Linked DNA regions of Drosophila melanogaster. The protein of the gene in region 1 purifies or fractionates together with the protein of each later gene. This does not show direct contact. Each region holds a gene or a part of one and is shown in the gene's direction. Other genes may lie near its edges.

The links. The genes of interacting proteins can lie anywhere in the genome.
Region 2: the proteins of wech (region 1) and Ilk purify together in Drosophila melanogaster (affinity purification with western blotting, with the first as the bait; one study listed by BioGRID). This does not show direct contact.
Region 3: the proteins of wech (region 1) and rhea purify together in Drosophila melanogaster (affinity purification with western blotting, with the first as the bait; one study listed by BioGRID). This does not show direct contact.

Annotation. Positions count from the first base shown.
Region 1 is NT_033778.4:7,486,673-7,491,777, reverse strand, and holds the start of wech (wech), read left to right. Parts: upstream 1-1,954; 5' UTR 1,955-2,445; intron 2,446-3,085; exon of another isoform or gene 3,086-3,322; intron 3,323-5,105. Other genes in the region: Coop (corepressor of pangolin), read left to right, coding at 1-729. UniProt on the Drosophila melanogaster protein: Vital for larval development. Plays a role in tumor formation. A crucial component for the physical link between integrins and the cytoskeleton in the epidermal muscle attachment sites.
Region 2 is NT_037436.4:21,215,086-21,219,740, forward strand, and holds Ilk (integrin linked kinase), read left to right. Parts: upstream 1-1,815; 5' UTR 1,816-1,978; coding exon 1,979-2,067; coding exon of another isoform or gene 2,068-2,071; exon of another isoform or gene 2,072-2,481; coding exon 2,482-2,647; intron 2,648-2,705; coding exon 2,706-3,251; intron 3,252-3,313; coding exon 3,314-3,859; 3' UTR 3,860-4,155; downstream 4,156-4,655. Other genes in the region: CG10508 (uncharacterized protein), read left to right, coding at 1-27, 288-416, 491-698; Trmt112 (tRNA methyltransferase subunit 11-2), read right to left, coding at 1,044-1,238, 1,392-1,493, 1,559-1,636.
Region 3 is NT_037436.4:8,543,103-8,548,000, forward strand, and holds the start of rhea (rhea), read left to right. Parts: upstream 1-1,898; 5' UTR 1,899-1,987; intron 1,988-3,572; exon of another isoform or gene 3,573-3,773; intron 3,774-4,898.

The DNA of each region.
Region 1 (5,105 bases):
AACGATATGCGGTTCATGGAGCCCGCCGTTCACGAGAATATCATGCGTCAGACGCGAAGCAGCAGCAAGAAGCACCCACCCGGACACTGGACGGAGAACAATAATGTGCTGGGGCCGGACAAGTATGACTCAATGCCCATTGTTGCTACGGAGCCCATATGCGAGCTCAGCCACAGCTATGACTCGGAGCTACACCAGCCCAGCTTCTCGGACATCAGTTCGTTCTTCGAGGATCGCGACTGCCAGCCGCCGGAGAATAAGAGATTTAAGTCGGAGCCCAGTCAGAGGGAGGAGGACGAGGAGGATGACGATGACTTCGACGAAGATGCCGCCTCGGAGAACTTGGAAGAGGAACGCGGCAATCGTGCCGATGCTGCCAGTTCCGGTGTATTCACCATAGAAGTGCTCGATGACGACGACGAAATGGAGCAGGCGGTGACCAAGACCAAGGCGAATAACACTAGCCACGGCGGATCCAGCCTGAAGAGCGAGCAGGAGGCCAAGGTGTTCTCCAATTCGCAGTCACCCACCGCCGATCTGCCATTCAAGTATATCAGCACGGATGTGGCCACGAATACGGATCCCTCTGGTGGAGATCTCCAGGACGAGGCGGATCGCATGTTCCTGCTCAGTCTGATGCCCTTCCTGCAAAGATTGGACAGCCGCCGGCGTCTGCGCGTGCGCCAGAAATTACAGAACGTGCTCATCGAGGAACTGGAGTTTGGCTGAGGACGCGTATATCCGGGGGAATGTGGGGAGATTTACTTTATAAGCCTAGCTTACAGTATTATAAGAACGCGACTGACTAACTCTGTGAATCTGCCTACATACGTAGCATGTAATCAGTATTCCGGCCTGCTTTCCTTCATACCAACACACTTCAATACATACCATATTGCATTACAATACATATTTACACTTCAAATAGACGATCACGCCAGCATGATTACTTGTTTCTTCCTCAGGATAACCGCTCACTTTTACCTGTATCTGCGCTCCGGTGCACCTGCGCCTTTTACCTGCGCACCCCGCCCGCAGTTCGAGTTCCCAATTATCCACGGTCACTGTTGCAATTGCATTTTTCCAGCCACGGGCGGCTCAAAATTTCTGTCAGTGCAAAACAAGTTCTTTAAGGGTGGTGCACGCGGCAACAACAACAACCACAAGGTGATTCCCTCCGCATTTTCGCGCCACATGCGCCGTTAATGCTAATGTACCGCGCTCTCGCTCGCTCTCTCCGCTCACCAATCACAATGCGCTCCGGATGGGCGAAACTTGGTCGAGCCTAGGCAACTTGATAATTCCCTTTTGGTGTGTTGTGTTTTTTGCCTGAAAACATCTCCCCATGTTTTAAAAATGATTCAAAGCTTTCGTTGAATAATGGCGGGCTTAACAGTTCTGCGATTTGCTTAATAGGGTCCAATTGGATGGAGTTTAACTTTCAAAAACTTTCGCTAAACAGAAAGCTCATCTTCTAATGAGTAGAGTCTGAAATTTAGACGCAGAATCCATAAAAATTCTTAGTGGTTCATGCATTGTTGTTAAAATGTTGAATGCTGTTTTGTCTTTTCGGAACTCATTTGGAATTCCAAAATTTAAGGTGAAACACTATTTAATTTTAATTTAAAATTCCTTTTAATTTCAGCAGTATGATTCCCCTCTGATTTGTAATCACAAAAATGTTCATGGCCATTCATTGACCATCATTTATACTTATTATAATCATTTATACTATTTATAAAAATTGAAATATAACAGTTAGCAGAATCAGTGTGACCAGCCATTGTGAGGATCAAAAACTAAACCTCCAATTCGGCTATGCCCGCGATACCCTGAACGAACAGGGGCGCGAATGACAAAAACAACAAAAACCAGCAGCAGCAGAAGGGCAGCGTCGTAACGAGAGAGCCGGGCAGAGAAGAAGAGGAAGAGGCAACGGCAGCGGCGAGCGCATGAACGTGAGTTTTGCAGTTTGATGGTTAAATGCGTGCGTGAAGGTTGGAGTGAAGATTTTGAGCCGAATTCGAATCCTAGTCCCCGCCGCAATAAGTGGGTCAGAATTGGAGCCGTTCGATTGGGCCAAACAAAAAGCTGGGCGCCACCGCAGACTGCAGCTAAAACACGCCGCCAAAGTAATTGGAAGAAGAAGCAGGCGCACAATAGGAATAATTGTTCATGGATTTTTTCGATTTCTCGTTCGCTTGCAGAAGGAAAAGTGCACGAGGGTGGAACCAAGGGTAAATAAGATTCGCCCGAAAACGCTTGGAAAATGTAAACAATCTGTAAGCACAGCGACGATAAGCGATTTTCAAAGAGTTTGCCAGCTTTTTACATCGATCAAACACTCGCATAATAAACGAATAAGAACTGACGATTAAATCGAATTGAAGTGGAGTGACGACTATGGGATACCCTAGGACCGCGTAGAGTGAATGAATTTGACAAGTGAGTTAAAAAAGCCATGGGGCACGAATTAAGTTAGCATAATATATGTGCGTAAATCAATTCAGTGCTATTAACTAAGTTTGTTGGGGGAAATGTTAGCTGTGTAATCCGCATAAAAGGAAATCTTGTTTAGGACCCATACGCCCCTGATACCCTGGACCGAAGCGGACGCCATTATCCTATTAGCCGTTATGCCCCATCAAGCGATTCGATTGTTTGAGGTTAGTAACAGTACATCTGACCAAACTTCTGCATCGACCCTCTGTATTAAACGCAGTTCTTTGCGGCATAAGTGAAAATAAATAGAAGATAAAATGTGCATGTGAGCCTCCCGTGCATGAGTGTGCCTGTGTCCGTGCGCCCTGCGAAGGAGAAACAGAGAGCGGAAGAAATAGGAAAAGAAGAGAGCGGGCGAAACGAAAGAGAGAGCGACGGTTTTGGAGCGCGCGCGCACATCAAAATTAAAAAACAAACTGTGAGATACATTTGGGTTTATTTTTTATATTTTGTTTAGGCTACATAGGCGATGATGATGATGTTGATGAGCGGCAAAAGCAACAGAGAGAGAGATAGAGAGAGAGAGAGAGAGCGAGCGACTCGAGTGTTATGTTGTGTTTTCAGTTTCGGTTTCGGATGTATCTTCTTCAGTCGGAATAAGGAATACACGATTGTCGGAGCGAACGGATTACGCATAAGAACTCTCTGGAAAACGAATTTCGCCTCGCGAAAATCCGCTGAAAAGGCAAAGCCAAGCCAATTCAAAACGGAATCCGCACCGCATCAAATTAAAAATCGAATCAATTAGCGAAAATCGGTACTGAACGCGCGACCCAACAACAACAAAAGCCAAGCGTCTTGCATGCGGCTGCTAAAAAAGGTGTGTACGCGAAGGAGATGCACGTAGAGAGCGAAAGAGGAGGCACGAGCGTGCCACTATCAACAGAATTTGATAAATAGACTTTAGTCCAATTGCTGCCAAATGCAAATATTGATTTTCACTACTCCCAAGATTTCCCAAAAGATTCCTCTCGACGCTTTTCCGTTTTTGGAAAATATACATACACAAATATACGGACGATTTGCGGCGCAGAAACCACCTACATACGGACATGTAGAGAAACTTGTGTGAATACAACCCTCGTCCTCATCCCCCTATGTTTTTGCGTCGTATCCTCGCTGCACGAACACAAATGTAGCGCTGTAACCGTGTGTGTATGTGTGTGTCTGTGTGTTTGTGAAAGGACTTTAACTTCTTGGTCGTGTTTTTTCCACGTCCTGCGACTCGGAGACAGACCCGTTTCAATGGAAAACGTTCAAGGGTGACAAGGGTAGTTTCGCTGATGCCTCCTCCTTCTCCTCCCCCTCTTCTTTCTGCATGGAGTCCTTTTCCTGCTCTTGTTCTTCTTATCCTTGTTTTTGTTGCCGCTGTCTACACGGTTCGAAAATATCCTAGAAGTGCATTCCTTTCCTAGGGCGTTGCATTGTTTAGCCGAAAAAAAGGGTACCAAAGCTGAGTTTGTTTATTGATTTCATCAGGACTGTTCGCAATCCAATCGCAACCATTACGCACAACCGCTTTTCTTAAACTACAGATGGTATGGAAATTCACGTTGTTGTGATTTCCCTTTAAACACTTTAAGGAGTGTATTTTCTTTTTATAGAATGCTAATTCATAGATGTTAAAACATCCCTAACATCTTGTCGTTTTTTAAAATCTCCTTGTCAAAACGGTAATAACATTCAAAGTTACCTTAACTCAAGGAACGTAAAATCTTGTCCTTAAAATGGGTTTATTTAATAATATCAACATATTTGCGCATTAAGTATATACATTTTCCTGGCTTAAATTTCCAATTTGGTTTGCTTTAAAATTTTACTTAGAACTGATTAAACCGAACAAGTTCGTTAAGTTCTTGTTTATCGAAATGCAAATCCATTTAAAGGGGTGTGATCCTTTACACCAACTTTTTATTAATATATATTCTGGGCCATAGTGCATCTTAATATAAGAACTGAACTGCCAGGCAAATTGTTTTCACCACAGATCGACAAAAATCATCAATCGCTTGACTTTAATATTTTTCCTTGACGAGAGCAACGGGAGGCCTAAACTCAACCCGCAGACATTCAATAACCCTTTTCCACCTTAACCCCATTCGTAAACTGGATTTGCTACCCCTCAAGTCATACTATAAATTAACTCAAATCACCCAAAATCAGAATGAAGGAAGAAATACACGTTCCTGTCGTCAAGTTTTCCGCAGAGTGTGGAAGAAACAGCTCCGTAATCCTGACCCGGTGGAGGGATGAAAGTCGGTCGTTTTATTGGGTCTACGCTCCTCGTCTTAGAGATGGAAACCAGTTCCGTCTGTTGTTTTATGACGTAGTCGCTTTGTGTTTGCCACCCCATTCTCCCCGCCGGAAAAGTCGCTTGCGCAGTGCTGGCGAAGCGAGGTGGTGGGTGGAAAGACAGGAAAATATTGTAACTACGTGATAAGGTTGAGCGCTGAGGTGGGGCCCCGTGAGGGTGGTTTCTAATCCCAGTCCAGTTTGTTTTCCCGTGTTTTTGGGGAGAAATTTCCCGACTCTAGTATCTGGGTTACAGAAAGTATCTAAGGAGTACAGGCAGTTCGCCGAATTGCGCGCGAAAACTCGCCATT
Region 2 (4,655 bases), on another chromosome or scaffold:
TGCTCGCACCAAAACCGATTCACTGAAGTATGCCCGCTAAAACCAAAAACCGTTCCGATAACCGTTTTTTTACCGTTTCGCTAAGTAAAATCAATCGTTTTGCGCATGAGTTTTTCAAGGAGTTCGCATGGATAGTATCGGGAAATCCGTTTTTGAGATATTATTTTTGAACCTGTTAACTATATTCTTTCGGCATGCCTTAAGCTCAATATAAAATATTAAATCTTTGAAATATTTTAGTTTAATATAAAAAGAACTTTTATACAAATTTAACCAATTCTCAACAGACATCGTCAGCACTCCCTTGGAAATTCGCATAATTCGGAATCAGCTGAATTTCAATCTATTATCGAACGAATGGCCAGTTTGGGACCCAATTCCCAGCTAAGCAAGGGTGCAGATGAAAATCTTTTGCTGTAAGTAGTTCAACTTAATGTCGAAGTAATAAAAACAAAGACTCATCTATGAATATAATTAAAATTATTTTCAGAGCCGATTATGTCACCTGGAATGGACCCAACACGAAGCTTCTTCAAAAGCAGATCACTCAAGGACCTAATGCTAGTCTTCTCACAGATCGCACCTATAAGCCAAGGGGTGGGAAATCGGAACTCTGCAAAGGACCCCAGTCCGGATTGGCGAAGGGCAGCATCTACGCCCAAGGCAGCAACAAGAGCGCCAACATCAAATGCAACTAGGCGGGAGTATCTCATCTGGAACCTCCCCCAGAGTGCCAAAGAAGTGAAGATGAATCTTAGTAGCCAAGCACCACCCTCCACATGTTCAGACTTACGATTTATATATGTCGTAGTGTTTTTTGCTCTTATCCTTAAACACCTACCAAATACCACACGAGTACGTAGACTCAACAAAAAAAAAAAAAAAAAAAAAAAAAAACGAAGTCACATTCCATCCAAGCTCCAATTGTTTTTAGTAACTCGTAAATAAACAAACTTTAAAACTAACAAACTTATTTAATATTAATGCGCGTCTGGAGAAAGGGGATTATGGGGATTATGGTACAAAAAGCACATGGGTGTAATCTAGACCTCGTCCTCGTTAAGGAGCATGTTTGGTATACCATCGCTGATGGGAAACACACGACCTGTCTCCGGGCACTCCAGTTGACCCTCGAGCACGTCGATCTCGAAGAGCAGATGGTGAAGCTTCTGCAAAAGCAGTTCATTCTCCACAATGTTTTCAGGCTGAACGGCAGGAATGTCTTCTGTGAGTTCCGCCTAAAAAACAAATTCCAATTATTAACGAATATAAAAAATAACAGGTTTTAATAGTTTAAAACTGATTAAAAATATTTGAAACCAGTAAATTTGAAATCAGTAACACTATTTAGAACCATTCTATGGTTCTTTTAGAACCATTCTATCACTTACCACCTGAGCAGCTCCATAGACCGCTGACCAGTCCAGCTTGGGAAGGATTCTCTCCACAAAAGTTGGATTAAATTCGCTCTCCACCACTTCCTTTTTGTTAATCTAAATGCAAAAACAAATAGACCGTGAAACAATCAATAGCCAGGACTTGGGACACCGGAACTCACCGTCAGTTTCAGGGGAAATCCCACTTTGACGCCCTTGATGGCCACGGAGGTCAAGAAGTTGTATGTGCTGAGTTTCATTTTCGGGCTTGTAATGGTTTAATTAATACAAAGAGATGAGGTAAACAACAATGTTTTTAAATAATAGTTGCGGTGCACGTTGTATTCCTTCTTCTTCTTGCTTTAAACATTCACAATTGGTGTATGTCATCGATACCACGATACACACTTGTCGATGTTTTGCAGCAGTTGGCAACGCGAGCAGTGTGTTAAATATTTAAAACGTCCACACTGCACAAATTTTAATTGGAATTCTCACAACTGTCGCATTTTAAGCGTTTAAATCTGTTTCTAGATGTAAATTAGGTTGGAAAACCTATAATATCAGTGACTGCGAGCGGAATAAAGGAGTGAGGAGTAAAAATGGAGGACATATTCCACTGGTGCCGCGAGGGCAACTCGATTCAAGTGCGCCTCTGGTTGGATGAAACGGAGCACGACAACAATTTGGGGTAAATCCAATAGAGGCAACTAACTCCATCACTTTCTAGTTGCTTTATAGTGCACTTAGAAAGTTAAGCCCTCAAGTAGCAACCCCCTCTACCAGGAACGTTTACTTAGTCATCGCCTAAATACGCCCAAGATTTCGAGGGTCTTTCAAGTCTAAGTGACGTCATGATTTATTCTTGTGTTGTGTAAACAGACGAATCAAATATATAAGTATACGTATGTTCATATTTGCCTGTGTGCATATCGCGAGCATAAAACCCGCTTGCCATGTTTATATTGTTCTTTACTTATAATTAGTCTTATAATCCTTTAAAAAGGACCATACCTAACTCTAAGAGCATAAGTATATAAGGTCTATAATGCTCAAATTCCACCATAATTAAAATAAATAAAACAAATAAATTCGTACACTTTAGAGACGACCATGGCTTCAGCCCGTTGCATTGGGTGGCTAAAGAGGGCCACGCCAAGCTTGTGGAGACTCTGTTGCAGCGCGGTTCGCGTGTGAACGCCACCAATATGGGCGACGACATCCCACTCCATTTAGCGGCAGCTCATGGCCACCGCGACGTGGTCCAGATGGTGAGATAAAACAGAAACCAGCTAGGTAACTTATTTAAGAACTTATCTGCCTCTACAGTTGATAAAAGAGCGCAGCGATGTGAATGCGGTAAACGAGCATGGAAACACCCCCCTGCACTACGCCTGTTTTTGGGGCTATGACATGATCTGCGAGGATCTGCTTAATGCGGGAGCCCAGGTGGGAATCGCAAACAAGGACGGGCACACACCTCTTGAAAAGGCCAAACCCAGTCTGGCCAAGAGGCTTCAGGATCTTGTAGAAAAGAGCGGCAGAGAGGTTAAGGTTATCAGCTTCAAGGAACAAAGCTGGCAGGGATTGAAGACGAGATCCCGGGATGCTACTTTGTCCCGTTTCAAGGGAATCAGTATGGGAGACCTAGACCTGCATACCAAGCTGTCGGTGACGCCATCAGGAGAAACTTGGCGCGGACGCTGGCAAAAGAACGATGTGGTAGCTAAGATCCTGGCCGTGCGTCAGTGCACGCCTCGTATATCGCGAGATTTTAACGAGGAGTTTCCCAAGCTCCGCATCTTTTCGCACCCTAACATTTTGCCTATTATTGGAGCATGCAATTCGCCACCCAATCTGGTGACAATTAGTCAGGTGCGTTGAATTTAAATAACTTCAGAAATGACCGTATAAGGTAACCATTCTATTTTCTTTAGTTTATGCCACGTTCTTCGCTGTTTAGCCTGCTGCATGGAGCAACTGGCGTCGTGGTGGACACCAGCCAGGCGGTAAGCTTTGCCTTGGATGTTGCGAGAGGAATGGCTTTCCTGCACTCGCTGGAGCGCATTATTCCAACATATCACCTGAACAGTCATCACGTGATGATCGACGATGATCTGACGGCGAGAATCAACATGGGCGATGCCAAATTCTCTTTCCAAGAGAAGGGACGCATCTATCAACCGGCTTGGATGTCGCCGGAAACATTGCAGCGCAAGCAGGCGGATCGAAACTGGGAGGCCTGTGACATGTGGAGCTTTGCTATTCTTATTTGGGAGCTGACTACGCGCGAGGTACCCTTCGCCGAGTGGTCGCCCATGGAGTGCGGCATGAAAATTGCGTTGGAAGGTCTGCGGGTCAAGATTCCGCCAGGCACATCGACGCACATGGCCAAGCTGATTTCAATCTGCATGAACGAGGATCCCGGCAAGCGGCCCAAGTTCGACATGGTGGTTCCCATTCTGGAGAAGATGCGCCGCTGAAGGAGAGGGGCAAATTCAATAAATGCCAAGCCAAAATGTGCCTTGAGAAACCTTAGATTTGCCAACTAATTGTAATTACTACTTTGTGTTACCTTTGTCTAACTGAGCCTAACCGAAAACCGTACCGAAATGGCAAAGCAAGTGCAACTGCTCTGTCTAGAGTTTATGTTTCTGTGTCTCACTGTTCTCTACTTATGATTTTCCGTCGATGTTTAGTGCGGGTGCTCGATTTTTTACTTTTTAAGTTCAATAACCATTATGATCGTATTTATACAGAAATATATTTGTTACTAATTAATCAAATCGATCAAATTGATTGTGTACCAAAGCAAATGCGGAACCACTTACGAGGGCTTTAGTCCACAGAGCTTATTCGCTGAGCAGCAAACAAGTCGGGAGCTTTCCGCCGGAGTGGGTGGCAATGCATCAGCGCAGCGGGTCGGGTAACGTGAGCACGGCGGCCCTGACCTGGTTTTCATTTCAGCACGCGATTGTGTGCAGCTCGCGTGGGCAGAGCAAACTCGGCGCTTCAGAAGAGCGCGCCGGCGTGAGAAACTCGCGGCGAGAATGGCGCAAATTTGTTGTATTTGCTCGAAATAATTTATATTTATTATCCAATATGTTTTCATTTATAGGCTTAAGGAAAGTGTGGTATTAGTTATTGGCTGATTTGCCAGTGACACTTTTTATCATCCTTAAGATTTTGTTTTGCTAACGTACTTTATATTATTTAAAATCATCTTTTAATGTTGTTTTATTTTCTTTTCTAAATTGATGTTTAAAGCTCTTAAATTAT
Region 3 (4,898 bases), on another chromosome or scaffold:
CAATTACAAATTTCAAGCAATTAGTTCTTTTGAAAACACTCAAACTTCTTGTCATCATAAATTTCTACGTTTTTCAAGTTTTTCTAGTTTTTGTTGTACTTAAAATATGAAAAAAACTTATTATATTTCAACCAATTTATTCGTCTCCAAAGAGCTCAGATTCATCCGCAACTAGAAACCAGAAATGCATTCGGAAAACTACAAACTCAATTAGATGGCCATAAATCTCCGGCAGAGTCAAGAACCCTCTAAATTTTGGTTGATAAAATGCCGAAATTATCACGGCCCAAGCACATGATATATGGGCATTCGGCTTGGCCGGTTTAACCCATTAGCCAGCCGGAAGATCGCTCAATTAGCGTTGCTCCTCGCTGCTGGTCAGTCCCAAGTCCCAAATCCCAAGTGGGTCACTCGAGGAAAGGATTTGCGAATCGGGTTTTTATTTGCCATTACCGAAAACCAAACTCCCTGGCCTCTTTGTTGGGCCAACAAAGTGACATAAATCTTGGCGAGCGCTGGCACAAACTCAACCGGAACTAAAGCAATGACGCAGCAGGAGCACCAGGACACATGTCGATGCGTTCTGCTCATCCATTTCGCTTGCTCCTCCTTGGCCAGCAGTCATAACGGGCGTGTGTGTAAAGCGAGTGTGCCAGTTCCGAGATTTATCGGCCCGAGGGGTGAGTCCATATCTGCACATCCTGCATCTTCTATCTGCGTATCGGTTTGGCAGGCCTCGAATCGCGGGACATCAATGCTCAATGCCCAATGCCCAATGCCGGATGCCCAGAACGACAGGCGTTCGATTGAAATTAATTGAATTTGCGCCCAAGCCACGAACTTGACTTCGTTTCAAGAAATTTCTCAAGCGCGCAGGGGCGGGCATTGTGCACAGAGAGAAATTTTTATATGAAGAATATAGTGTTTTATGTATGAAGGTTTTCTGAAAGTTCGCTTTAAAATGTTTCTCTTGAAATTTCCAATAATTAAATTCAAGTTTGATAGTAGCAAAAGGAATGTTTATCCCCCCCTTTGATAATTTTGCAACTTGTCTTTAATTACTTCTCATTTTTTAAGAGTGTTGCGAAAGAAGGACCGTGGACGCTTGTTTCCTGTTTATGCTCGAGATGTTTTGCAGCATAAATTACGCGTACACATATACCCATGTATTCGCGCATATGATATCCTTGACAAGTCGAGAAAGGAGAAGGGAAAAAAACAGGAACATTAAATTTATTTTTATTTCGCTGCCTTATAGGGAAAGCAACCCCAGTGAAAGGGCCCCCAAAGACGCGCGCTATGTGCGGTCCGTTGACTTTGGCGAAGTCATGAATTCGCTTGCTTATTTTTATGATTTTGGCTAGTTTTTGTTTTTCGGCCCTTAGATTGCTCGTCTATTTTCTGAGGGTTGTAAGTTGCACACTTGGTTGCCCTCCAATCGCCGAAATCAAAACGGAAACGATGATCGTCTCGGAGAAAATTCAGGAAAGCCAGACAAATTTATCAAGTTTGTGTGGGGGTGCGCTTTGGTGGGGCTTGTAACCTTCATTAATCATGTGGATATGTTGTTTTTATAGGATTCGACTACAAATCGCTTAATCTTTAAGCCTTGTTTTAGTTAGACTGCATTAGTTGGGGGTTTTATTTTAAATTTGGCGCTCATGCCTTTACATTTGGGGTGACCCTGCACTTAACAGTCTGCCATTGGCATAACAGCTCTGTGTGCAGACTACTTTTTGCTTGCCGTAGTAATTTCAAATATTATAGAAGTATAGGCAAACTATGATTAGAACTTGTAAATTTATATATTTTTTATTTATTTTGTAATTATGTGACCCAAACGCTAATTGGTTCCGATAGCCGCAATGACTTATCGATAGCTGCTTGACGCACGGTCACACTGTCTTAACTACGGAATATTTTGTAAAGTGTTAGTTTTATTTACTCGATTTTAGCTCTCTTTAAGCCCTTTTCGCCGTGTGTTTCTGTAAGTTAACCAATGTTTAAAACCCCAAGTGCACAAATCAGTTTAAAGCCCCTTTCCCGCGGCATGAAAACGCGTCAAACAAAGCCAGTGGAGATTCAGCTGCGGCCTGGCCAACAAGAACTCATTTCGATTCGTTCGCACATTTTGTTGTTGCCGCCTAGTGGGTGCTCCTCCGGGGTGGAGTCATCATCGTTATCCCTACCCCCAGTTGTTGGCGCCGACTGTCCGGATTTTGGTCTCTCCCACATGTCCCGCACATTTGTTTTTGTCGGTCACGCGAATTCCGCCCTTTTAACCAAGTTTCCAGTGTAACAACAAAAGGGGGCAAAAAAAGGGAACGCCCGCATTTGTATGTTTGTTCGTTTGTTTGCTTGTAAGCATCGTCTACGTTTTATGCTAATTAAAGTGCAACATTTTTTTTTTAGCCAAAGCTGCGAATATAATTCAATTAACGAGAGTCCAACTGCGACTGCCTCGCATTATCAGCACAGCAGTTGGTTTGGTTTGACGGCTTTATCTGAGCAGCTGGATGAGCGTGCAGAATAGCATGGTGTATATGTATATGGGGTACATTCCATACGCGATAAGATAACCCCCGGTTGCTGAAGAAGAAGAAGAAGAAGCGCCGGATTCGCGGGAGTTGGCAATTGCCTTCAATTCTCAAGTTAATTGTGGAGTTAGCTGTGCAACTGCAACCCTCAAAGATCCGAGACGAGGACCCACAAGACTCGTGCCTACATCCCGCTGTCAGTGGCATAGAGATTCACTCTTCCCGGGATCAGGCCCTCAATTGCGTCAATAATTGGACCTAATTGAAGTCAACAGGCTATTATTTTGCCTCCTTTGTTTATGCACGTTTTTGGAAACTGTTGTATTCAATTATTTCAACTGAGATTGAAATTTCTCATGTATTCTGTTTGTGTAAGAGTTTTAAATGCAGATACTTTCCTAAAAAGAGACTGGTCCTGTTTAGATTATAGTATCTATAGAGATTTGAACCCATAAAGATTACGTTAATATTGTTGATTGTTTAGAAGCATTCCTTTTGGGGAATAATCTAGTCCGTCAAAGAGTCATTGATATTATAGATAAGAAATGTTTGGGTCATATAACATCATCAAAACAAAACGTCATTACCAAAACATTTCAAAATACTAATACTTACAACGCTCCAATCGCTTGACTAGCTTAGCCCTTGAAAAGCAGGAGTAATGTCCATTTCTTAGAAAACCCCATGTGACTAAGCGCACTTCCTCTTCCAATTTCTCGCTTCCTCTCTGCTCACTTTTGAGAAGAAAGAAAGAGCCATAAGTTGGGCAACAAAAGATTAGTCACCACTGGCACGGGTCCATCACCTTGTGGCCACTACCTTCTCCTCCGCTGCCCCTTCATTTCACCGCCCTCCCTCTGGCTGGCACCTTTTGTTTTGTTTACATTTGCAGACGGCGATCAGGAGAATCGGAAGAATCAGAGAGGAGAGAAGCCTAGCAGCAGGTGGCTCTCTTCGCGGCTCTCCCATCTGTTGCTCATGCTGCTCACACTGCCCATGGAACCGAGCGAACCACTCGCTTCTATGGCCCGCTCATTCGAGTTTCGTCCGTCGTCGGTGCCAATTCGTTCGATTGTGCCGCGCCCGATATCGCTATTGAAATATATATATATATACATATATCTACCCATATATATGTATAGGCGATTCGTACATATATGAATATCGCATATCGTGCATATCGTTCAAGTTCAAATATCAAAAGAGTTTCCAGCCCAATTGTGGGAATTAAAGAAGGTATATACATGACGAGAGTGCGCGGTCATAAGTGTGTGACATATGGTGTTATTTTTATCCATTCCGAGTGGAATATGTGCCACAAAAAGGCAGTTCCATTGTGTAACTAAGTTCAAACGCCAAATGCACGTTGCGCCTGCGCGATGCGCGCCAAAAACCCATCGGAAAACCCTTTTCCCCATTTCGGATGTCGAGCGTTTTAGAAAACAAGCTGAAAATTACCTCATCGCGCTGCCGGCGCCAGCGTCGACGTCTGCCGTTTGATGTCTGCCCCTGACTACGCTGGTCCACAGAGAAAAAATTTGGATTATAATAGATCACTAGGCTATATCTTATGACGTGCTAGCGAAATCTTAGGACTAGTCAGATTAGCATAATTCGCTTTTCACGATGATGCTTTTTTTTGTATTTGTATATGGATATAAACCTGAGCAAAGGGTTCCATTCAACAACAATGTATAGTATTTGATTATGTAATCAAGAAGTACTGCATTATTTATATTACTGTTTATCAAAAAAATACTATATTATTCTCTGTGTACACAAACATATAGATATTTCATTCTATATTTCTTGCTTGCCTAGCAGCTGGCGGCTGGCCTCCCACTCCCCTCCTCCACAAATGCGATTTATCTTTAAGATACAACGTACGCTAAGATTTGTTTGGTATCTGTACGTAGATTTATTGTTTTTTTTTGTTACGCTCTTTCCTCGCTCTTCTCTTCACCGATTTAAATATCTCGCGTCTTTCGATGTTTTGTCATAATTTCTCTGGCTTTTGTCCTGTTTTCTACACATTTTTTGTCCGATTGTTTGGCAAATTTCGCCGTCGCTCCATTTTGTGGGCGTATTTTGTATATTATTTATCCATTATCTCGAAATGTCAATGCGCTCGTTTAAAGCTGTTGTTATTTTCAGTCTCTCTCACTTTTTCGAGCGTTTCGACCTTATTAGCAGTGGGCTTCGGTTTTGGAATGCCCGCCACATAAACACGCTTCGGAAACATAAAGAAATCGAGATCGGAGCTCATTTTCACTCCATGCTCCACTGTGTGGGCAGTGCATCGGCTCCACATCTACCAAATATTTCGGACGTAGACGTGGGGACGCTCAGCATCCGCCAAGA